Struthio camelus: one gene and its partner. The protein of the gene in region 2 purifies or fractionates together with the protein of the main gene of each other region. This does not show direct contact. Links are inferred from orthologs where the notes say so. Each region holds a gene or a part of one and is shown on either strand. Other genes may lie near its edges.

Region 1 (12,128 bases), on a different chromosome or scaffold from region 2:
TAGGCTGTTTACTCTTAAAACACTGAGAGCAAAAGCATACTTATACTGTGAGGTGAGTAAACCTAGAGCTAAGGAGAAAGGCGATTTCACAAATAATTTATTATTACTACATTGGAGAGTCTTGTTTTCGCTTTAGGTCTTATTTTACAGACAAGCAATTATTTCCATCTCTTATTTTTCTCTCTAAAAGAGAGGGAGGGATAGAGAGTTGGCCAAGGACAACCGTTCTTCTTGGACCCTTCAAGATAACCTCAAAGATGTCTCAAAACTTCAGAGGATTTACTGCTTCTCAACAAAGAAGGTAAGAAGGTGGTAGAACAGCAAGTAGAATATCCTATAAATGCATTTGCTTAAGAGTATAAGAAAAGTATAAGAAAATGTCTATACGTTGTATCTTATACCTCTCATACCACAGAAGCCAGGAAAAGACAAGACTACTGAACAGCACAAGCTTCTCCAGTACAAGGGAACAGAGGCATTGTTCCAAACACTGCCCTATTAAATTCTTCTAATCTTTTGTACTTTCCAGGTGAATACCTATGAGACACTCCCTGCCCCACCCCTAAAAAAAGAATTAAAAAAAACCCACTTTTTTGTTTGTTCAAATTTTCATGGAGTTTATCTATCGTTCTAATTTCATGCGCTTCTTTATAAGAACTACGTGGGTCTGTAATGGAAGACACCATAAAGTGTTTCTCCCTTTCATACGGACCTGTTCAATAACATTATCTGTTCAAACAATAGCATAGGGGATGCAACAGGGGAAATAATCTTCCACATGCATTCCCAGAATACTGCTTTCGGTTTCACAGTAGCAGATTTCCGACCACGATATCTTTCATGTTTTTGAACTTCCTGTATACACATCAAAAACCAAGTGAAAAGATAATCAGTATCTCTTCAATGTCTACAACATGAAAGGTCTCATGGGGGTCAAGAGGGAAGACTATTTCCCCCCTTGTAGCCACTATGCTATTGTTTATTACCTATATTGGCATTACAAGAATAAAAACTATCATGATAGTCTATCAGATGAAAGTGAAGTCTCCTTGCTATGAACTTTGCTGCATGTCCAACTAATTCGGCATGTGAAAGCATGACAAATTGCAGACTTTTGTCAAAGCTGATCTGCTAAAATCCCTTACTGCAGACTAGCTTAACTGTAAAACTATCTGTTTCTGTAAGCCTTTCTGCAATACTAACTTTGGAGAAGTTTGTTCTGAAAGGCGCCAACTTTATACGCTCACCTATCTGGATTGCTTTTGCTGCTGCTGACTTTGAAACCCATGACAAAATATCCAACAGGCAAAATGGATATATAAGCAAAAGAGTAGTCAGCAAGCAGACCTATAAATGCCAAATACAATACAATTAAACATAGCGGTAGGGGAGGAACTATTTCAAAACCTCTAAGTTTAGATTATACCCAATAAAACTGTATATTCCATGCACGGAAATATCAGTGATGTCAGGACCCCAATGTTTCCCGATTTTCATCTAAAAATGGGGATGCTCCCTGAATCTCCCCTTAAAATCTTCTTCCTTGAGCAAAATAAAATTATTTCCCCGGTAACGTTCAATATTTACCTGGTGCGTGTCTTTTTATTTAAATTAGTAGCTCCCTGTGGTAAAGATAAGCTCTGTATTTTTGAAGTACTGTGCAGACTTGCAGCAGTATTTTAGGAAAAAACACAATGTCCATTATTAACAATTGTCAAGAAACTGGCCTACAGCTCATTACTTGGAGTGATTTAAAACCCCCTTTTTTGGCATATTTCTCTATACAACCTGTTCAACAAAAAGCTATTACCGAACAAGCAGCCTTGGCTTTTAAATAGCAACTTACCAATGCACCATTACCCTACATGCAAAGTCATGAGATGTTCCTGGGTGTTGAGCAAGCTAGGTAGCCATACACCACTCGTGTATGTGCTGGAGTTAAAATAACAATTGAAGAATTAATTTACAATACTTGATTTTCAAGTTCCTTTCTGCTTTGCTCAGCTGCTGCAACACACGTGGTTTAAAACAACATACTCAAAGGTCAAACAGAAGAAAGAAAATGTCCACAATAGCTCTAAATTTTCCAGAGATTGCATATTTAAAAAAAGAAAAAGAACCAACAAAACCAAACCAGCTTGAATGAAATTACTTATAGCTCAACGGGGAAAGAAATTACTGTACCTTTGAACCTGAGAAGTCTATTCGCCATGGTGGAGAACTCTCATAAATTTAACCGATACTTGATTTGACAAACATTCACATTTACAAAGACAAATAACACACTTCTAAGCTAAATATTTACTTGTTATCGGAAGGAAATTTACAAGAGTAAGTGAACTTACTTTGGACCGAGTTCTTTTCTGATTTTTCTCACTAAATTTCTCCTTCATTTCCTCCAAGAGATGCTTCAGTTCCCTCTCCTCCGATGTTCCTAAGTATTTTTGGTTAATATGAAGGTAGCAATGCCATTTGGCTGATTCAAAGCCCCAGTGACAGGTCCTTTTATCAGGGGATCTATGTGAATGCATCACAAACGTCTGGGGCGAAAACATTCCATAGCACTCCAAACACTGGATACAGGGATCATCCGGCTGCAGGTAGAACTGAGGTGCAAACAAACCCTGGCATTTGCCCAAGCACTCATGCTCTACTTCAAAGGCACTGCCAGACTCTTTCAACTGGGCCAATGTGCTCTTCGCAGGGAGAAAGCTGCCATTTTGAGGAAAAGTGCGAGGACGTAATAAAGCATTGCATAGTCTCTGAGCGTCAGTCAGCGTAATTAGCCCACAGGATGGAGCATTAAATGGAAGAATTCCCAAAACCTTCAGAATGTGAAGCTGGTCGGACGTGCACCTTGAGCAATATATATACAGCTCGTCACACACTGTATTAATCTGTTGCAATGAAAAGTCTCGGAGAACTGAATTCAAAACTTGCGGCAGGCAAAGTCTCTTTTCTCCTCCAACTTTAAAACAAGAAATAGATTCCCCCTCCAATATAGTCTGAGTGAGTTCTGTAGAGCTGTCTGGAGGAATGAGCAGTGGACCAGAAAGTATTTGCGGTGATGGAAGAGGCAAGAAGACAGTGGGTGACATACTTTCCTGGGAATAACGAGCTGAAAAAGCTGCTGGCCCTCCCAGTGAACTCTGGCTGCTTAAGTGGAACTGTGCCAGCGTGTGTTTCAAACCTGGATTTAAATTCAAAGGCTCAGATATTGAAGCACTGTTTGGCTTGGCGTTTTCCCCATCAGCCTCCACAGGAGTTTCATCATAGTCATCCAAGTTTTCCTTCTTTATTGTTGGCAGTCTATTTATTACAACTCGTACTTTGCTATTTACATGCATTTCTGTCATTACTTTTTTTATTGGAGGACTCTCATCCTCGTGGACCCCACTCCTTTTTTGGTCTGAACCTAGACCGAGATGGAAGTTTGTTTGCGGGCTTTCCATTGCTAAACGCTAGAACTTTTAAGCAAGCAAATCTAGAGTGTGCATTTTCCTGCTTGCTAATACAAAAATCAATTTTAAATGATCTTGACTACTTCACACACGCCAAGCTTTGCACTCCTTTCAGTAAGTTAATCCTTCAGCCTCCAGGAGCAAAAAACTGTAGCCCCTTTTGCATGTAATACCACAGAATTAAGAATGGAGAGGGTAAACAACATTTTCTTTTAGGTTTAAAAGTATTTGTCCAATTTTCTTTTATACAAAACACATTGCAATATGCATATACAACGATTTTCTTTGTAGCCTACTCAGTAGTTTGCACAGTAGTTTCGTATAGTCTTTCAGTAAAAAATGATGAGTTGATGCAAGAGCATCCATCCTCGGTCACTTTTTTCCCCTTTAAAAAGCATACTGGCTTTTCAAACAAGCCTCTTGTTTAAATACCAAAACAGAAAAATGCCCACAAGTCTCAGTCTGAAGAGCGTCGAACTCAGTGTAACTGATCCAAATAAAGTTTGGTTGTGTGAAAATTTTATTCGCCGCTTCTCCTTCAGTTGTCAGGGATCAAACACAAGCTTAAGGCCTTTATTTATTGGGCAGCCAAGTTTACGATTCCACCGCCACCACCACCACTAGAGTTACTATGGCAGTTCACCAATAAATCCCCAAATTAAAGGCTGATCCAGATTGCTGGCAAAAACTAAACGTCCCTAGAGAGTCACCTTTAGCACAGACGTCCCCGGTGTGTGCCTGGCTTTTCCCACCCCGAGTTATTAGCAATACAAATAAGATCCGGGCCATCAGCTAAATGCACATCTTGTGCTAATACACAGCTCTGTCAACCTCTCCTGATAACCTGTGAAAAGAGAGAGAGAGGTCATTAATAACCATTAATTCCCGAGACTAGAGTCTTCAAATACGAGCTCAACATATCAAACAAGGGACACGCTTCCTAATTAATTACAAAACATCAACGCACAGAGAGCTTTCGTTTAAAAACCAGAAGCCCCATCATAAGCCCCTGGCAGATGGGCGAAGCTGGCAGCGGCACCAGCCCAGCGCCCGCACAGCGCTGCGTGTAACGTGCGGCAAATCCCACAGGCGGGAGCGCGGCGAAGCGGAGAAGAGGAGAGGGAGGACGAGGTTTCTCTTTCACAGGGTGTGTGTGGGGGGGGGGGGGAACACTCGGGGGAGAAACGCCAACGCGGGCGGGCTACGAGCCCCCTCCCGCCGGGGCCGGGGGCCGGGGCCCCCCCTGCCGCCGCCGCCGCCGCCGCCGCCGCCGCCGCCGCCTCCCCCCCCTTCCCGGAAGGGCCCGGGCCGCCGCGCCCGCCGCTCCGTGACTCACCGGCGCTTCCCCGGCGCCGGCCGGCCCCGCGCCCGGCTCTCCCCTCGCCGCCGGCCTCAGCGCCCCGCGGCTGCCCGCTCCGCTCCGCCAGCTGCGGCTCCTCCCGCCGCCGCCCTCTCCGCGCCCGCCGCCCCCTCCGGCGCTAAATTTACCCCCCCCACCCCCGCGGGAGGAGCGGCTTCCCCCGCGCGGCGCCCCCACAGACGCCGCCTCCCCTCAGGCACGGCGCGCCCCTCCCCCGCCGACTCGGCCCCGGCCCCCGCCGCCGGGCCGAGCCCCCTCCCCCCCGGTGACTCCCCGGCTCCTCACCCGGCACCGCGGGGGCCCCGGCGCCCCACGAGCGGAACAGGAGCCGCGTTCGCGCCGCCCACCCGTGACCTCACTGCGGAGACGGAGACGGCGGCGGAGACGGCGGAGACGGCGGCGGCGGCGCGCGGGCACGAACCCGCCGGCGGCGCGCGCCGCCCCCGCCCCCGCCCCCCGCCGGCCTCAGCCGCCGCCGCCGCCGCCGCAGCCCCGCCCACTGTCTGGGGCCGCGGCGGGAGCGGGCGCCCCTCCCCCTCCCCCCCCCGCCTCACGCGCGCGCCAGCCGCTCCCTCAGACAACCCCGGGCGGCCCCTCCCCCCGCCCGCGCGGAGCCGCCGCCGCCGCCCTCACACAGCCCGCGCCGCGCCGCGCCGCGCCGGGGAGGGAGGGGAAACCTTCCTCCAGCCCTCGGAGAGCCGCGCCAGGGGAAGCCCTCCCCGCCCTGCCGAGGCCTCCCAGCCCGGCGCCGCCGCCGGCTCGGGCGGTTGGCGCGGCGCCGCGGGCTGCCCTCACACGCCCTGTCGCCGCGCAAAGCGGGAGGAGGAGGAGGAGGAGGAGGAGGAGGAGGAGGAGGAGGAGCGGCGCTGCCCGCCCGGCGGCTCGGCTCGCCCCGCCGCGGCTGCCCCGTCTCGGCCGTTTCCTGACGGCTCCCCGGGGCTGGTGGCGGCGGGGCCGGGGCTCGCCCCGGGTGCGCGGGCGGCGGCGCCATGTCAGGGCGGGCGGCGGGGACAGGGGAAAAAACGAGGGCGCAAACGGCGGGGAAAACGCGAGGCGCCTTAAAAAAAAAAAAAAATCCCACCTCTGCGGAACAGGAGGGCGGACAGGGCAGCAGGGAAACGCGATGGTGCCCGCCGGGGCTGCCCGCAGCGCCGCGGGCTCCTCACGAGGCACCGGGGCCTTCAGAAGAACGGCTGAAACGTGGGGGAGCGGGTCAAAAGATGGTTTTGGAGCCCCAGTCAGCCGGAAGCTGTGCGGTCACGGCCAAGAGGGGTTGACGTATGGAGCGTCTCCCACTTCGGTCCTGTCGCTGGCAGGGGAAGAAGCTGCTTTCCAGAGCCCGCTTAATCTCTGTACAGCTCGCGTACGGGGGACGGGTTTCTGCCGTACACAGCTGTTGTTACATGTTCCTTGTAAAGACATTTTGCCGCTTCAGCTGAAGGGCAAAATCCAGTTTGCCGTTGCCTTTAATCCTTATTTTGATGCAAAGGGAACGTAAAAAAAAAAGAAAAAAAAACATTAAAATGGCACAACTGCACAGCCGCTGCTGCAAGGTGTTTAACAGGACGAGGAGCGGGACCGGCCCAGCGCTGCCCGGCCGCGTTCGGGTTCAAGCTGAAGGCTAACAGCAAACAAAACCCCTCTTCTTGCTGAAGAGCATATTTAGCTTGATACACTTCAACTCTTGACTTTGGTTAGAGGTCCTCCGTGCAGGCATGGTTCACCCCTGTAAAGCTGCTTCTCGAATCACCTTTCAACTCTTAAAATACCAGGTCACTTGTGCTACCCACAACGTTTTCTTCTAATGACAATTGGCAACATATAATTTTTTTTAGATTTCTAAAAAAAAAAACAACCTCTCTAAATTACATAGCGCTTAATGTGTTTGCGCATAAGCAATTTGTGACTTTTCTCTTGTCAGCCCCGTGATCGGAGGTGTTATTTTATTTCCAAGCTTTGCCCTTGATGTTACTCTTCAGTGGTCACACATCTGTAGGCAGAAACCATCTTCCCATATGTTTGCACAGCAGCTAATGCAGTCATTAGGACGCGTGGTGCTTTATATTGCAAAAATAATAAATTGCTGACAGTTTAAACAGCAGAAGAGGGTTTAGAATAACTGTATAAACAGCTGCGTCTGGGCTTTTAACAATAACTCTGTGATCACAAAGACGATAATGGTTATAGTTATTTGCTAAAGCCTAGAGAAAACCACTTGACCTTTCTATTATTAAAGAATTCAGGTAGAGATGAAAGAATCAAAAATCCGAAATAGAGCACGACCTCAATTTTTACATTCGGCAGAAGGTGTCATCACAAGGATCGTTGTTTTACTGTTGCTGTTATTGTGGCACCCTCAGGCAGAAGTAAGGCTTTCCTACCAATGAAGAGGTACCACAAAGAAGCCTGAAGCATGTTGAAGCATGTGAACGTCCCAATTACTTGAAATTAAGAGCACTTTCTCAGCTCTTTGAAATAGACACACTTCACAGACACTTCGATGCCTATAGAAAAACGTAACTTGTCTTTTCATAGACTACAGAGAGAGCAGAGAAGGAAAAGGAAGGCATAAATTCCTGCCACTCCATATAGGCCAAAGTAAAGATGAAAGCTTTCCAAAAATTGGAACCAAGATTTAAACTTTGGGAAGAACACAAGTATTGGAGAAACTCATTGTTTGTCCCTTCAGTACTCCGCTTTTTGCCCTTTTCCATCCTCCTTGTGTTTCTCTGCTTTTATTATAAGCCACTAAAGATCGACTCAGCCATTCCTCAGGGAGCATTTAACATATTAACTACTACCATTATGGGGAGTACATTTTTCCTTACTTTAATTTACCCTACTATTTTCTAGCTCTTTTTGCCAGACTTCATCTCTGTAACTCCTCTATAGCAGCGGAATCTCAGCTGAAATCTGTACATATAAGAGCATGAGCAGAGGCTCATGCATGACTGAGTTTTATGGGCCGAAAGATAACCGAGACTGATGCCTCTGTACTGTCCAACCACTTGAGATTCACTGCAAATAGGATTCGTGTACTTAATTTTAAGTAAGTTTCACGGATCCAGGACCATAAACCTATTCTTGGTTCATCTTTGCACCTGAGTGAGTTTGATCTAATCCAGCAACACCCTGTGGTTAATAAACACACATCATGCCACCTCAATATGCAGTTTTATATCTAGTCTTTTTTACTTTTCAAAGTAGGGAAGTGTTAGAATTCATTTAAACATGGTTATAACATTGTGCAGTAATTTGCAGTACCCTGGTACTTCTCTAATGCTCTTCTCTAGCCTGCAGCAAAACAGAATTACGTAGGACTCTGCAAGTCTTGTCTCACCTTTTGGCTGCTATGTCAAACACAAGCTTTTGCAGCCTTAGAAAGAAAAAAGTTTTAAAAAGAGGAGGATTTTTTCATGTAATGATTCTGTGGAAGGATTTTATGAAGACTGGTATTTTTCTCCATTTATAGTTAAGCAAACAGTGCAAGATGCAGAGCAGCTGCAGGAGTACAATTGCTACCCTTACATGAAAACGAGAACTGCTTTTTTACAGGGCAAGAAGGGTGTGTATTACTGAGACGGAGGGAAAGTGATGGAGAAAATGCAAGAGTGCATTTATGTTTGATCTCAATTGCCTTTATTCTTTATTCTTCCACAGTAAAATGTCTGAGGCTAGGACAGCAAATAATTTTATGGAAAAGTACACCCATTCCGGAAGAGTACTAATACTCTGTACTTACTTATTAAGTAGATACGGGGCTTAATAGCCACAACATTTTAGTAGAATTAAAAAGGCTTCTGAATCTACCAGTTTGGGGGGCTGATCTTGAAAAACACTGACCAGTGATTCTATTATCTAAACATTCTGGACATTCCTATCTCTTTTCTACCCTGTAAGAGTCTAGGATTTGATCAAAAATTTCTCTCCAAATAGCCAACCATTGAAATGCACTGTGTCATATTTCAATTGTATATAACTCAAGAGCATGGAAGATTCATAGCATCGTACCTGCAATGATCGGAGGACATAAGCAAGACAACATTTGTAGGTGGATATTACACCTGCTGAGGGCACGTAAGCTTAGGAATTAGGTGTCATTGTTTAATTTGGGTTTAAAAATTCTGCACATTTTTCATTTCAAGCTGCAAATTTTGGTAACTACTGTGGTGAAACAGAAGTGTTGTTACAGCGCTACATCATCAGGCAGCATAAGACAACGTTCGTAGGTAGAAGATAGTCTACTAAACCGTGAACTCTACCTAGAGCCTTGACTGTCGACTATGAAAAGCACTTTGGTACCAGAGGTACGACGTAACTAAACTAAAATCTTACCTACAGATCTTTTTAGCACTGAAGAAATCGCACTAACAGAGCCTGGGAGGGATTTTACTTTTATTACTAACCTCTCTGGATTTTCAAGAGGTGCTCAAGTTTTTTGGAATCTTATTAAATTAACATTTAAGGTTGTCTTAAAATGTAACTCACATTTAGCACTTTCAGCTGCTTTGTTTAAACACCTTAGCTTTAAAACCAGTGCAACCCACACAGAATTTGTCTTTACTCTTCTAGGTCAGCTCCCAGAGAGAGTTATTTTAAAAGATAAAAACATCCTATTTTTACTTGACAACTAAGAAGTGACCACAAAAGTTTCATTTCCAGTTAAAATCAAAAGAGAGAGCCATAATAGTAAATAAAATAAACCAAGACGTTCCCCAGAAAATGTATCATTCCATATATTTCTAAAATAATAGTAAGCAGGACGCATTGAAAAATACATGCCTCCAAAATATCATAAAGCAAAGAAAAGTGTTAAAAAAGAGCTGTTCTTCCCTGACACTAACTGCTTTTAATTCCTTGCAGGCCACCTTTGACAGTCTCTGGTGGTGATGCCTCTTCCACACTAGGAAGAGAAGCAAGTGAGACAAACTAATCTGCATTTCTAAGGGCAGATTAAAAAAAAAAAAAATCCTTTAAACTACCGCATATAAAATGAAGTGCCAAATAACATATTAAGACTTAAAATAAAATGATCTTTCAGTTAAGCCGGTTAACACAGATACTAACTTGTTGTCAAACTGCTAAATGTGTAAAGAATTTTGTCACACTTTTATGAATAAGACTCAAGCTGCACATTTATGAGCAAATGGGATTTTCTGTAGGAAGAGAAAGTTAAGCATTTGTTTTAATGTTCCTTTCCATACATGCCATCTCTGAAGTTATTAAAGAGTAAAATTTAACACTGTCCAAAACACAAAAATTATGTTTTCTTCTCAGAAGACAGGAGCATGTACATTTTACACAGATAAAAGTCATTTTAGTGACAACGGTATAATACTGAAGACCAATCTTAATATATTTGTGAAACGTACTACGACAGATTAAGTAATGCAGATATGATGTATTACAGATACCCTATTACAGACCTTATTGTAAAAGAAAAATTGATGGATTTTTGCACGTTCAGTGTCTTACGGGACAAGTTATGGAAGAGTTATGGAAACAGGTACGTACAAAACACTACATCTAATAAAGAATTGAATCTATGATTTAGTTTCTACATCTAAAATTGTGGTCAAAATTCAGCTGTTTCGCCAGAAGTTTGTTGTGTAGACACGACTTTAAAAGGGACACAAGCCGAGACACTTTCTTCAAGCTTAAAAGCCAAATACAGACACAACAGATTTCTGGTTCTATTTACATCTAAAAAAGCCCACCTCCCACAAAAGCCACACAGATCCAGAAGATAAATGCCTTCTCAGCCTTTTATCTTTGGTGATTAAATGCATAGTGACAAAAAGCATGCATCTCAAGTGTGCAGTTTGGATCCCTTTATTTTAAATCATAATCAGAAAAAAAGTCTTAAAAAAACTTAATCATTTGAGCTCTTGTCAAGAAAATACAAGATGTGGTAACATCCTCTTCTGAAAAAAGGGGCTCCAATCCCTCACTCTGCCTTCTCAGGAAAACATCATTAATCTATAGGCAGTTTCACATACCTGTCTTGCCTAAACTGCGTAATTATGAAGTCCATCATGAAGTGAGAATGCAAGATTAGTAATTAAGTTACCATGTACATACAGTTTATACAAGCTTTTTTTTTTTTTTTTTTTAAAATAGTGTCTTAATATAAACAACTGCTCAGACTGAACAGACAGCAGTTGGCCACCCAACCGAACAGGAACAAGAAGTGTGCGTGTTGGGAGGTTAGGTATTTAAGACATGCAACCATCTGTAGCATTTATCTAGGAATGCTGATACATACTTCCAATAACAAGCCAGCTTGCAAAGGGAAATCTCTTTTAAAATATAAATGTACAAATACTAAAATACAGCTACACTAAAACACCATATGTGTAACAGCATTGGTAAGTGCCCTTGCCCTCTGTGCCATAAATCTGAGGGAACGTCGGGGAGGAATTAGAGAAACAAAGGGAGAAATCATGCAGAAATAAGCATAACAGATGCAATGTTGCTGTAAACTCCAAAGCCCCAGCTCTCACAGCTGAGATGACATCTTAGAAGCTCCAGCTAAAAGAGGTCTTTGGTCAAACAAGCTAGAATTGCATTGTGTATTTTACTTGAAGCCTTTTGCATCTACACAGCTTACTGAAAGCCTCACTAAGTTAGCTTTCTTTCATCACTGGTGTTGGAAGGAAAGCTAAATCAATACAAAACCTATCATGATGCTTTTTCTCCATAGAGAAAGATTAAGTGAGGCTGCCTAAGCCTATTAGAGGGGAGCCTGCATTCTAAGACATATCTGGGTACCCCAGGCATGGGGCTGCCTTGCTTCGGTTGCAACGGTCAAGCTGGGCTCTCTCTTCTAGGAAAAAAAACAAACAAATCAACCAACCCACTGGTAAGACTAGAACAACACTCCTTCTGTGGGAGTTGGATAGTTAAGGGTCATCCAACGATCCCAAGCAAATCCCAGTGTTTCACAGCATTTTTCTGAGGTTAATACACAGAGGCCTAATATAAATGTTTTATTTAAAGTAAAAAGTGTGCACAAATAAAGGGAATGATTACACAACAACGTCCAAGACCACGTTCCGTGTGAAACAGGAAAATAATAGCAACAATATTAATTAGCAGAGCACCCATAAAAACCAAGTTCGTATACAAAAAGGAGGTTACTCCACATGAACACATCAGGCTTCTGATGCAGACGCTTTCTGCGAAGATAAAACCTACTGCACTTGATTGTTTACACCCAGTTTCCCTCCTGAATATTTGACAGTTGCTCTATGTTCAACCAATGAAACATACCTGTTAATATCCTGGCACTTTGGAGAAAAGGAAAA
Region 2 (11,762 bases):
AAGGGACACTGTGAAGCTGCCATCCTAGTATATAGTCAAAACTCAACTGGACAAAGCCCTAAGCAACCTCCTCTACCTGGACCTCTTTGAGCAAGAGGTTGGGCTAGAGACCTCTGGAGGTCCCTTCCAGCCTATGTGATTCTGTGATCTTTCAAGAATATTCATTTTAAAGAAATGACTTAGATTTTCTGTTGATACTAATGAGACATCACCTCAATTAGCACTAGACTAAAACTCTACCAAGGCGTCCCCTGACAATCAAGCCTTCAACCTTGCATAATCCTAATTAACGTTTGAGAGAACAGGATCATTTTAGACATCTGTTCTTAAGCATACATATCTGCTTTGGGTTGAAAAGTGTCAATGCAAAAGTACTGAGTGAATAAAAGTAAATTCAAAATCCCTTCAGATGTTTACATTGCGATAATGACGATAAAAAAGCTTCACACTTCAGGAAATATTTGCAAGCACTTCTGTGATCTAATAACTGAAACTTCCGTTTTAAGTTAAATTTGGCATGTATGCAGTCCTCTAAGGAATGAATCTCTACCAGGTTTCACTTACTGGTTGCAAACACCAACAGTAGTTACTGCACATGCATAATATTCACTTCCCTCAGCAATTTGAGTGTTCATCAGATATGTATTTCCGAATAGCCACACATCAAAACATCTGTTCTAGTTTCACTAGTCAGACAGTCAAATAAATTCACACAGGTCAAACAAGTGGCACAATCTATCAAAATACATTTCAAAAAAAAAACTACTTTGAAGCTCTACTCCTAACTCAGCTTCTTCACTTTTTTTAAATCAAACAATGCCTACTTTTATCATAACTGTCATGAATGGAACTGGTAACATATCATACTTAATATAGAAAAACAATCTGTAGCAGTCACAGACATCAATTCTAGCGCTATTATAAAAATAACAGGTGCCTAGAGCATACTCAAACAAAAACATTATATTAAAATACACTATTAATATAGACTGAAATTTATATTTCAGACAAAGATTTTTAATACCTCCAGAATATGAATTGAATATTTTTCAGAACTCTACCTCTGTTGTGCTCCAGCATATATTTATGTCCCTGTCTCACCAACGCAGAAGAAAGCCATGAAGAGTCAAAAGAGCTCAGGTACAGGAATGATGCTGGATTGTGCTGACATTCACTGAAAATAAGACTGGAGGCATTTGCATAGCTTAAGCAGTCCATTCAAAGTGGGAATTTTCAACTTTCCTGACTGAAAATACAACAACTACTACCAAACTCAGATTAAGTTATATATAAATTATATCATGTCTGTGAGAACGTGATGTATCCCCCCTTCCAAAGCAAATAAAAATAGAATTACTGCATAATTTAAGATGGGACTTAATATAATTTTTCTGAACACACACTCTACATATGGGAGTCGAATTCAGCATTTCAAAACAATTTACAATACTATATATTACAGCACTCCCAGTATTAAACGTATTGTTGCTCTACTTATACATACACACACATAAATCCATTGTCTACGTTTTCTGTAAGCTCTCTGAAAGTTATCTTGTAGCTCATTTTCTACCTTTTCAGCAGCCTAATGAAGGCCTGCCAGATTGTGACATTCACAAGGAGCTGGGAGAACCACACATTCTCTTTACTGAGATAATCTTCTTAAGAAAGATTGTAAATACCTCTGTGAGGCAGTGAAATTTCAAAACAACCTATCTTCCCAGGAATAAAAACAGTAAGTGCATTAAAAAGTTGCTTTGCAGTCTCTTTAATTTTCTAAAATCTCTAACTTAAAAATATTCATTTTTCAGAATAGTGTAATACCTAACAGAAGGAGGCATTTTCTTTTAGGTTTCTATTCAAACTAAAAGAAATAGTCTAGCTGGACAGCTGATACAGCAGATAGTGAGAATTCAACTCTCTATCCAATAAAATGCATACTTTAATGACCTATAAAGTCATTAAAATGAATAAGAGATACTATTTTTCTTCTGTATTATTACAACATAGAAATTTCTAAGTGATCTTCAACATAAACATATACCACAGCAAAGCATTTCATTCAGCAGTGCAACAGGTAGGAAACCACCAGTTACTTCTCATACTATAGCAAACCAGAACTTTGGAGAATTATTTTTAACTTTGGTCAGTGTTTCTCAGACTTTTAGGAACCAAGACCATTTTTCTGTCCTCGACAGTAGTATCCCTCAAGGGCGAGACAATGTGGTAGGAGAGGAGATCCTCGTATGGACCCGTTGCAATTACTGCCTCCAAGCATCTTTCCTGTTCTCTCTGCGAGAGCAGCACACTGCCGTCAGAGCTGCTATGTAGGTACTGACCTTGCACTCAGCTCCTGGTAGGCAGCTTCCACAGTTACTATCCAATAAATATATATATATTTAGTATTTTAAGTAGTGACAGTTCTTAAGGAGCAAAACCTGAAACTAAATTAAGAAAGTAACCAGAAAAATACCAGGGAAAAAAAAAAAGCCACAGCAGTTTTTCAAGGCATCTGTAATTCTTTTATCTAGCTGTAGAGTACCTGAAAAATAGCAGGCAGTTTTAGATGCATATAAAATAGTACAGCATATAATCCAGCAGTGAGCGCCTGCAGGTAAGTGTAACCTGCTTCAGGTATAGCTATAGGTATCATTTCCCATTAATCCTTCCTTCAGGAAAACAGTATTTGCTTACAGCAAGGTAACAAAAGCCTTTAAAAACTAGAGAATTACATTTAAAAGTTAGGGAAAGTACAGAAGCAGCAGAAGTGAAAGTAACACTAGGATTCCTGACTGACATAATCTATGCCAGCTGGGAAGGAATCCACATGACTGAGCGACGCAGTACTTCTCTGTAGGTTGAGAACGTCCACTTTTACCTCATTTTCCTGTAGAGCGTTTCATTCGCCATCCAACTGATTCCACTGGCAACATGCAGAGAGAGCTGTCTACAAAACAGCAGTTTTATCTGCAGTTCTAGCTGGTCAATGCTTTGTTCTCAAGTGACTCACTGGACTAATAAATCTAATCATACAGACTTACATACCATCACAGTTGGACCATCATTACCTACATGCACATCTTGCTCAGGCCGGCTAAAAGTTCTTGATGAACCAATCAAACGCTGAATACTTATGTCACCAAAGCACACAATCCAGCGTTCTTAAAACGTGTACGATAGGAACCGATATTCCAGTTAATATTTACTTCAGAAGTTGCAATTCATTTTTTTTCCTGCATCTGTACCTTAACAGACATGTTCCTTTAATGCCACTTATTCCTAGAATATAAACCTAGCTTCGCCGCTCCTGTATCTTTTAATATATACATCATGCAAAATGCAGAACTAGACCTTAACAAAAGGGATCATAAGACCAATCAAGTGCTTTAGTCAGCCTGTTTAAAGTACATTTAATATATCATCTCTTTAAAACTGATGGACCTTCTAAGACCATATCCCAGAGGAACAGTTTCTGAACATTTTGTATAAAAGGACCACTACTACTCCAAGTTAACTCCTTACCAACACACCACTGAGCAACATAGGAAAGACTCGAGTTGTTGCTAAAACCAGAAAGATGTCGCCAAATAGGGTCCCTTTGACCACAGGGACCGGTTAAGAGCTACAAAACCACTTACCAGGGCCCTAGTTCGGTCCGTAGACTACAGCATGTGAATCACTCTACTAAAAGCTCTGGAAGCTTTACAATTCCATCTCTGAACATGAAAACAAATACAAAAAGTCAAATTCCAGTTGTGATTTCAACAAAAGGATGTGGAAAGAGAAGACTGTACTTGTCCCATAGCACAATACCTGTGTATGCACAGAGCACAGAGGCAAGGCAACCGATAAGTAAGGCTATGAGTGTTTTAACTACACACACAGGAAGCTGGAAACACGTATCTGGAAGTAGGTGTACTACACATACCACTTCTCATTGAGCACATAACCCTATACCAACAGTGAACCAAACGTCACTTAGACAAATTTTTTTTCAGGCGCTGTAGAAGCGAACAGTCGAGCATCTCATGGATATGCCTCTAACATAGCATCCCTGAAAGTCAAAACAAAACACGCAACCCGATTTACGCTACCATTCCCAAATACGCAGACCAACTTCCAAGTCTCGGCCGTGACTCGGAAACACGAAGCACGCCGCATACGCGTGTCGTGAGGATTACGGCAACAGAAACACCGGCGATCGCGTACGAAATCTCTCCGGGTCTGGCCAGGCAGGAAGCCGGGGCGAAGGCAGGACTCGCCCCGGGGACGCCCGGCCGCCGGGGAAGGCCGGCCGGCGAGGGAGCAGCGCGGGGCGGCGCTCACCTTGCTGGATGTCGCCGTTGGCCCCGCCGGGCACGGGCACGCTGAGCTGCCGCTCGGGCTCGGGCAGGCAGCGCCGGCAGAAGGAGTGCAGGCAGGGCAGCAGCTTGGGCTCGGCCTCGCGCCGGCTCTGCAGGCTCTGCGCGCACACGGCGCAGGTGTCCAGCAGCGAGAAGGGCCCCGGCGCCGCCGGCGTCAGCGGCGGCACGGGGCTAGGGCCCGGCCCCGGGGCGGCCCCGGGCCCCGCCGCCGCCTCGGCCTCCGCCTCCCCGGGACCGCGCTCCGCTGCTACCGCCGCCGCCGCCGCCGCCGCGCCCGGGCTCTCCCGCTCCTCGGGCGGCGCGGCGGCGGGCGCGGGCGGCGCGGCGCCCGAGGGGGACGCGGCGGCGGGCTCCAGGCCGCCGCCTCCGCCCGGCCCAGCCTCCGCGGCCCCCTCCCCACCGCCGCCGCCGCCTTTGTTTTCCGCCATGTTTCCTCCTTTGAACCCAACTCCCCGCTCCGCGCACGCACCGCTCCGCGCCTGCGCGCGCGCACGCACGCACGCACGCACAGCGTCACCGCGCGCCGCGGTGGGGAGGCGGGCACGCGCCCGAGGCGGCGCAGGCGCGGTCGCGGCGTCCCGAAGGCGGCGCGAGGAGCGCGCGCTCTGCCTTAAGGGGGACGCCCGGAGAGACGAGGCGTGACGTAGCGCGACGAGGGCGGCGCATGCGCCTGGCCCCCGGCGGGGCGGGCAACCCGGTCGCGGCGTGAGCTCGCCGCGACGTCCGATTGGCCTGCGGCAACGGTCCCCCAGCCAACGGGCAGCGGGGGCGGGCCGCCGCGCACCGCCCTCCCCTCCCCCCGCCCCGGGAGGCGGGAGCGGCGGCGGCGCGCGGCTCCTGAGGGCCCCGCGCCAGCTCCGGGCAGCGCCACAGGCAGGTGCGGCCCCCTCACGGCCCGCCGCCCCTCAGCCGGCCCCGGCCCCAACAGGCGCCAACAAGAATAGTGTTAAGGGGTTTTATTTGGCAGAGTCTTTTGCCTGACACGACTCGAGTTGTTTTGTGACATCGCAGCAAAGGGCATACAAAGAGCAAAAGGAGGTTTAGTTCAGGCCTTGGGAAAAATGCAAAAACATGAAACAATTCTAAGAACCACGGCACCGTATATAAAATGTGAAATAATTCACAGTACACTTAACTGTGCTTATAATATACTTGAACAATATATTCTGAGTCTTCCTCATTTTCTAGGAGGAGGTAGGGTCAACAACACTTAGAAAGGTATTTTTTCCATCACCTTACACAACTGCAATTAGCGGTCTAAAAACACGTAGCATCTTCAAATACTGCAGCATATTTTAAAACAAGTAAAACAGTAAGGATTAAACCCTCAGAAGTCTTGCTGGATGTTCTCCTTGTTTGCTTCCCCATGCTGTTGTTTGATCTGTGAAATTTCATTTTCTAGCTGCACAATAGTTCGTTCAATCTCATAATTTTTACTGACAAGAGACACCCATCTGGAAGAGAATAAAAACAAAAAGCCTTTAAGTGGTATTTGCGCTTAAACAATCCCCCTTTTTAAAATCAGAGGAACACGTTAGTTATTGATTCAAAAAAAAGTGAAGACGCTAAATACAAAAGTATTTTTCTCAGTAGATAATAAACCTCTGTTGACATCAATGGTAATTTGGACAACTAAAGCGACAAAAGTTAAACCTTAACTCTCTTAGGTTAAGGTTTAGCTTAGCTCTGTTAAACCTTAACATACAAAACTTCACATACTAGGTTATAAGGAAAAAAAGGCTCAAAAACATTGACTTCCAATATTTAGATAAAGAAGGGTTTAAGAAACAATTTACACAGGCAATTTCAAGGACCTAATATGCCCTACTTCTCACATCTGTTGCTCACTGTTTCATTCAACCACAATAACTATTATGTGGAACTGAATCATGCATCCTTTAAAAAAACTTTGTATGGAGAACTAGTATTCCCGTGAAAACATCTTATGAGAGCACTGAAAGACTATTGACGTTCTCCAAGAATTTCACACAAAAGATATACTTATGGAAGATTTAAAGTAAAAATTCTAGATACTCACGTAGATTCCATTTCTCGTAGCTTAGCCCCAGCCGTGAGCTGCATGTTCTTTCGTTGCCAGTTCAGATCTTGAATGTTTTTCCTGAGGGAGAAAAGATTATATTCTTTGCTTTCTTTTTTTTTTTTTTTTTTAATTTGTAAGATCTACTGTTAAATCTTGAAATACACCTAAACCCTAGAAGTACTACCAGAAAGCACTTGTGTAGCCAGGATCCTAACTACCACATACAGATGGAAAAAGCCTAGTACAGGGCTGCACACAGAACCACAAAATAAGTTTAAGGAAAAAAAAAAAATTAACATCCTACTATGAACAAAAGTTCAAAAACTCAAATCTTCTGCTACAGCAGGAAATGCAAAAGCTGGCCGAGCCCAGAGCCCAGCAGCTCTGTTTTGTTCTCTCTGGAAAAGGTCAGAAGAGCTAAGCTGATCTGCTAACCATTCACGATATCCAGTAATTCAGTGAAGCACCCGAGAAGTGCCGAATACTTCCAACCACTCAGGAGACCAAATTAATTTTAGTTCATGTTGCTAAAGCTCTTATTCTGTTAGCCTCCTTTTTCTGCCTCAGTGTGTTCCTTTAGCCTTTCCCAACTCAGGAATCCTCCTTCTATCGACTCTCGCACTGATTCCCGCACTGATTCTGTCCAAGACGCTAACTCCAGCTAACCCAAAGAAGCAGGTAATGATAAAAGATACAACTTGCTATGCAACCTGGTTTTCTATGCACATCTCAGTATGCAGTCCCATCTTCAGGTTGAAGATACTGAAAATTACAGTAGTTCACCTGAATCCGAAAGCTGAAAAGCTCTTATTTGCATAGTCCATAGCATCCTGCCTAAATAAAATGAGTTACTAACGTGCACCACTTTGATATCCTACTACTCCATCAGTGAGCAATCCCTGTCTATTAACTCATTAAAGCATTCACTTTTAATTGAGAGGCCAAACTTAACCTCAGCCAGCATGTCTCCACTGAGACAACTGCATACCAAACAAAGGTCTATTAACAGTGAAAACAAAACACGACGGAGTTTGAGAGAGGATCCCACCACAATTCATTCTGCTCGATCCTCCACAATTCATTCTGCTCGAAGCAGAGGTTCACACACACACACACAAGGCAGAACAGGTATTATAAAGATAAGTCTGGGGCGGGGCAGGGGGTAGACCCCCCCCCACTTACTATTCTAGGTCGTCTTTCCTGACAGTGGCAGCAGCATACACACAAGCCTCTCTGCGTAGCTACAGGAGGAATTCGTATTCCTTCCATCTTCAGTACAAGACTATGAAAAACAATGACTCACCTCAACTTCTGAAGTTCTTTCTGGGCTTGTTCTATCATATGAACCAGGTGCCTAATAGCAGAACAGTAAGTACAGTATGAGGAAAACACATATTCACCCATTTAACCTACCGTTTAAATCTTCAGAGTTAAGCAAGGAACAAGCTGGTAACAGTGCAAATATCAGACAATCTGTTCTCAGTGCAGTCTGTGCTCTTCACTCCCGAGGAGCATGACACGTAACACCTCAACGCTTCTGTAGTAATATACGCAATTTAAGACATAAATCTTCAATAATTACCACGTTCACCCCTTGCTATCAGATAATCATAACATAAAGCTAAATCCATCAGTTAATCACGTTCTACCTTCAAGCTTCTCACTGAATACTTGTGCTATTCTGATTAGAATACTGTTGAAACATTTCATTACCTCATCACCAAGTAATAAAATATGGTCTTCTAATTCTATTAGGTCTTAAACTTACCTGTAACCAATTTATATCATTTTTTTCCCCTCATATATTGTCAGAGCACAAACAATTCTTTTTCTCTCCCCAGCATATTTATAAAAGTTAATGTATCCTCTTCCTGTCTCCTTTTTCCCTAAGCTAAACAAACAACCCTTTGCTTCCTCTCAGAAAGCTACATGTTCCTTTTGCCTACACCTTAATTGAAGCTTAAGCTAACTCTTCTTAAAAACAAGTATTAAAAATCCCTGCCTGAAATAGCCTAAATGATTCCTCCAGCCCTACTTTCTAGAGCTCTATTCAGCTTTTGCCACAGCTTTATTTCACAAATGGCTCCAGGCCAAACAGGAGTGGTAGCACATCTTGGTTTCCAGCTGCTGAATTACCATTTTAAAGATTGTTGCAAGTTGGTTCAGCTATCTGCAATATAAGTCCAAAAGCAACCAACTGCTACCCAAGCAATAACTCACGAAATTCAAGACTTAAGATGTACTGAATTTAAGAGGTACAGGCTATTTCTAGGCCACGAAGGCTATTTCTAGGCCACGAAGGAGGGCTCCTCAGATCACAGCTGTTTCTTGCACGTAGAGTTTTCTCAGAGGAATTCTGCAGTGGTTCCAGGATATGTTCATGAGATTCTCGTTGTAGTTACACAGAAAAGCATGAGGAACACATGGAAAGTGAAGTTACAGCTGTAAGCAGGTTCAACAAAGCAGCGAAACACCTTACTCGTTGTAGACCTTCCAGGCATTGCAGCCGTGCTGAGACATGAGCTCCAGGTTCTCGATGCGGACGGCCTGGTGCTCCAGCTGCGCCATGGAGTTGTTGACGCACTCCTGCCAGGCCGTGATGTCGTTCTTCTGCCCGGAGGAGGGGGCCGGCAACTCGTACCTGCAACGCACCGCGCCGCCCGCTCAGCTCGGCCTGGCACGCAGGGTCCGGGCCGGCCGGGGGGGTGGCCGGGGGGCCGGCCGGGGGGGGCTCACCTCTTCATGCTGAGCAGCTCCAGCGGCTGCCGCGCGGCCAGGCGCTCGAACTCGTTCCGCATGATCTCGGTCTGCGGGGACACGGCGGTGAGGCGGCGGGGCCGGGGCCGGGGCCGGGGCCGGGGCCGGGGCCGGGGCCGCCGCTCCTCACCTCGAAGGCGCTGTAGTCGTGCGCAGGCAGGTAGCTGAGGTAGTTCTTCGTCGGCCGGTACCGCCGCGTCTCCTCCTCCACCAATGCGGCGGCCTAGCACACACGGGGACGTCAGGGAGCAGCGCGAGCGCGGCCGCGGCCCCAGCCCCGGCCCCAGCCCCAGCCCCGCTCACCGCCTCGCGGACGCCCGGCGCCTCGTAGCCCTGGTCGAAGTAGGGCAGCGCGTCCACTACCACATCGCCCGCCACCAGCCCCGGGCCCGACATGTCCGGATCCGCTCCGCTCTGCGCCTGCGCGCCCCGCAGAGCGCCTGCGCCGCGCCGCGCCCCGCCCCGCCCGCCGCCCACCCGCGGCGGCACGGGCTGCGCCTGGGGGGACGAGCGAGGGTTCGCCGGGGCCGGGTCGGGCCTCGCGGCTCGCGGCGGGCTCGGCCGGCAGCGCGCGGACGGTGACGGAGAGGCAGAGAGCAGCTTCCGGGTCAGGAGGCCGTTACTGAGGAGGCAGAGCGCGCCGGCGCCGCCCCGCAGTCACTTCTTCTGAAGAAATCGCATTTTGCTTCCTACAGAGAAAACAGACGGTTAGGACGCGGAGACGCTGCAGCGGCCAGCGGCGAACCCGGCCTCAAGGCAGACATTCGCGCGTGGCCGCCGCTGCCGGGAAAGAGGCGCATGCCCCTGCAGCGTGGCAGGCAGCTCTGGGATTAGACAGCTACCACAAACTGTATCGAGAGATGGAAAAGCTTGAAAAGCATATAAATATTATATAATTTATATTTAGTAAATATAAATATTTTATTTACATTAATTATATAAATTATATTTATATTTTTATCATTTTATATGAATATTTTAAAAATAAAAAATTACAAAGTGCTCAGCATAGGTCAAACAAGTAAAAGTGCATGAGGCAAAGAGTGCACTCTTTTGCTTAAAATTATTTGTTCAATAGCCATGTTTATGAAAAAAGATTATCCAACCAAAATACCAAAGCTGCCTCTTTACCAAGACTGCGAAGGATTTTGTTCATTCCACTTGGTCCAGTCTCTGGAATACTCTCCAAATACTCCAAGGCACGGACCTCAAAAAGACCTGGAGAAGAAAAATATCACTCAGCTATTCCCATTTCTTAGCACGTGGCATCTCAAATCATTAACAAGATTGTGAAAAGAAAATTGTGCCTGTAATATCAGCTGCAGGATCAAGCCTAGAGAGGAGACAGATACAAAAACTCTTTGCTTAACAAGATGCATTCTGCTGAGCCGTTAGACACCACATCTGCATTACATTTGCCCCGGGGGCAACAGGGTAACCTGCCAGGACAGAAGGCTCCTTAAGAATCAAAGTGATGCGACGTTATACTTTGAAAGTTACTTTGCAAAACGAGAAATTAGTATCAAACCTCACCTCTGACCATGCTCTTACTCAGCTCTCGATCTTGTATGAACCCTGCAAACATCTGTGTTTCCATGAACAAGTGCAGGAAGTGACGCACATTGCGTGACATATGAGATTTTCGGAACAACTCCCGCTGAAACACTCTCTCCCCTTTTTCTGTGACGTTCATGTGTAGGGAGTAGTGTCCAACAATCTCCACAAAGAAGCGCACAAAAGCTTCAGAGACCAGGGAGTTAAGAGGCATATCACCTGTGAAAAGGTCAACAGAGGAATCATTTCCCTCTATAGTCATCATTTTGGACAGTCCTCTTCTGAGGAAGAGTCATATAGTCTACTGTAGACATATACTCTATGTGTAGACTTTTCCGTACAAGTACCTTGTGTGCTACTCTGCTCTTGAGACAAGATTTCATTTCGTTCCTCCAAGATTTGTTCAAGTGCAGCCTGGAGCTTATGAGGCAGGATCTCATCCTCATCTGATACCTAAAGAGAAAAATGGTCAGGAAGGCATTTTTGTGTTTTATCTGTCATCAGTAGAAACTTCTCACTGTGAACAGATAAGAAATACTCATGACACACCTGAAACGATCAGAGGGAAGTTACTCTGTGATATGGGGTAAGCTGGTGAAGACAATGCATTTGTCTTGTAGCCACAGAAATGAAAAACATTTGCTCAGCACCTTCCAACTAAGTAGTAGCAGTCACATGCACAAATGACCAACACAGAACAAGGTATGCTACATCCACTACACAGACCCAGGCTTAATATACCAGTGATAAAACACACCAGAACAAAAGTCTGCTCAGAAAAGATGACAAGTCACAACGTTCTGGTGAAAAAACGATCCTTTAATACCTTTCTCCAGTTGCAGGCTGCAACGCAAAATAGAACAATAAGGCAAGGGAAAGGAGAGGCAAATACCCTCCTGAACTACTAATGCTCCAGGATCTTTATAGTGATCTGTCTGCTGATGTAGAAGGCACTGTCTGTACATTAGGGAAAATTTGGGGCCAGCAGAGAATTGCAAGAGAACTATGATAGTTTGTTTTCTAGATCATCGTTCCTGGAAAAAACC

What was found.
Region 1: the proteins of TRIM33 (region 2) and SKIL purify together in Homo sapiens (affinity purification with western blotting; 4 studies listed by BioGRID and IntAct, with this or other methods). This does not show direct contact. The link is inferred for Struthio camelus from reciprocal best matches to the Homo sapiens genes TRIM33 and SKIL.

Annotation. Positions count from the first base shown.
Region 1 is NC_090950.1:27,916,135-27,928,262, forward strand, and holds the start of SKIL (ski-like protein), read right to left. Parts: upstream 5,287-12,128; 5' UTR 5,107-5,286; intron 4,851-5,106; exon of another isoform or gene 4,798-4,850; intron 4,306-4,797; 5' UTR 3,453-4,305; coding exon 2,346-3,452; intron 1-2,345. UniProt on the Homo sapiens protein: May have regulatory role in cell division or differentiation in response to extracellular signals.
Region 2 is NC_090965.1:10,032,993-10,044,754, forward strand, and holds the start of TRIM33 (E3 ubiquitin-protein ligase TRIM33), read right to left. Parts: upstream 4,793-11,762; coding exon 4,327-4,792; intron 1-4,326. Other genes in the region: BCAS2 (pre-mRNA-splicing factor SPF27), read right to left, coding at 5,692-5,818, 6,403-6,483, 7,709-7,759, 8,885-9,046, 9,142-9,212, 9,293-9,385, 9,466-9,558; DENND2C (DENN domain-containing protein 2C), read right to left, coding at 9,820-9,851, 10,294-10,380, 10,696-10,935, 11,064-11,169. UniProt on the Homo sapiens protein: Acts as an E3 ubiquitin-protein ligase. Promotes SMAD4 ubiquitination, nuclear exclusion and degradation via the ubiquitin proteasome pathway. According to PubMed:16751102, does not promote a decrease in the level of endogenous SMAD4.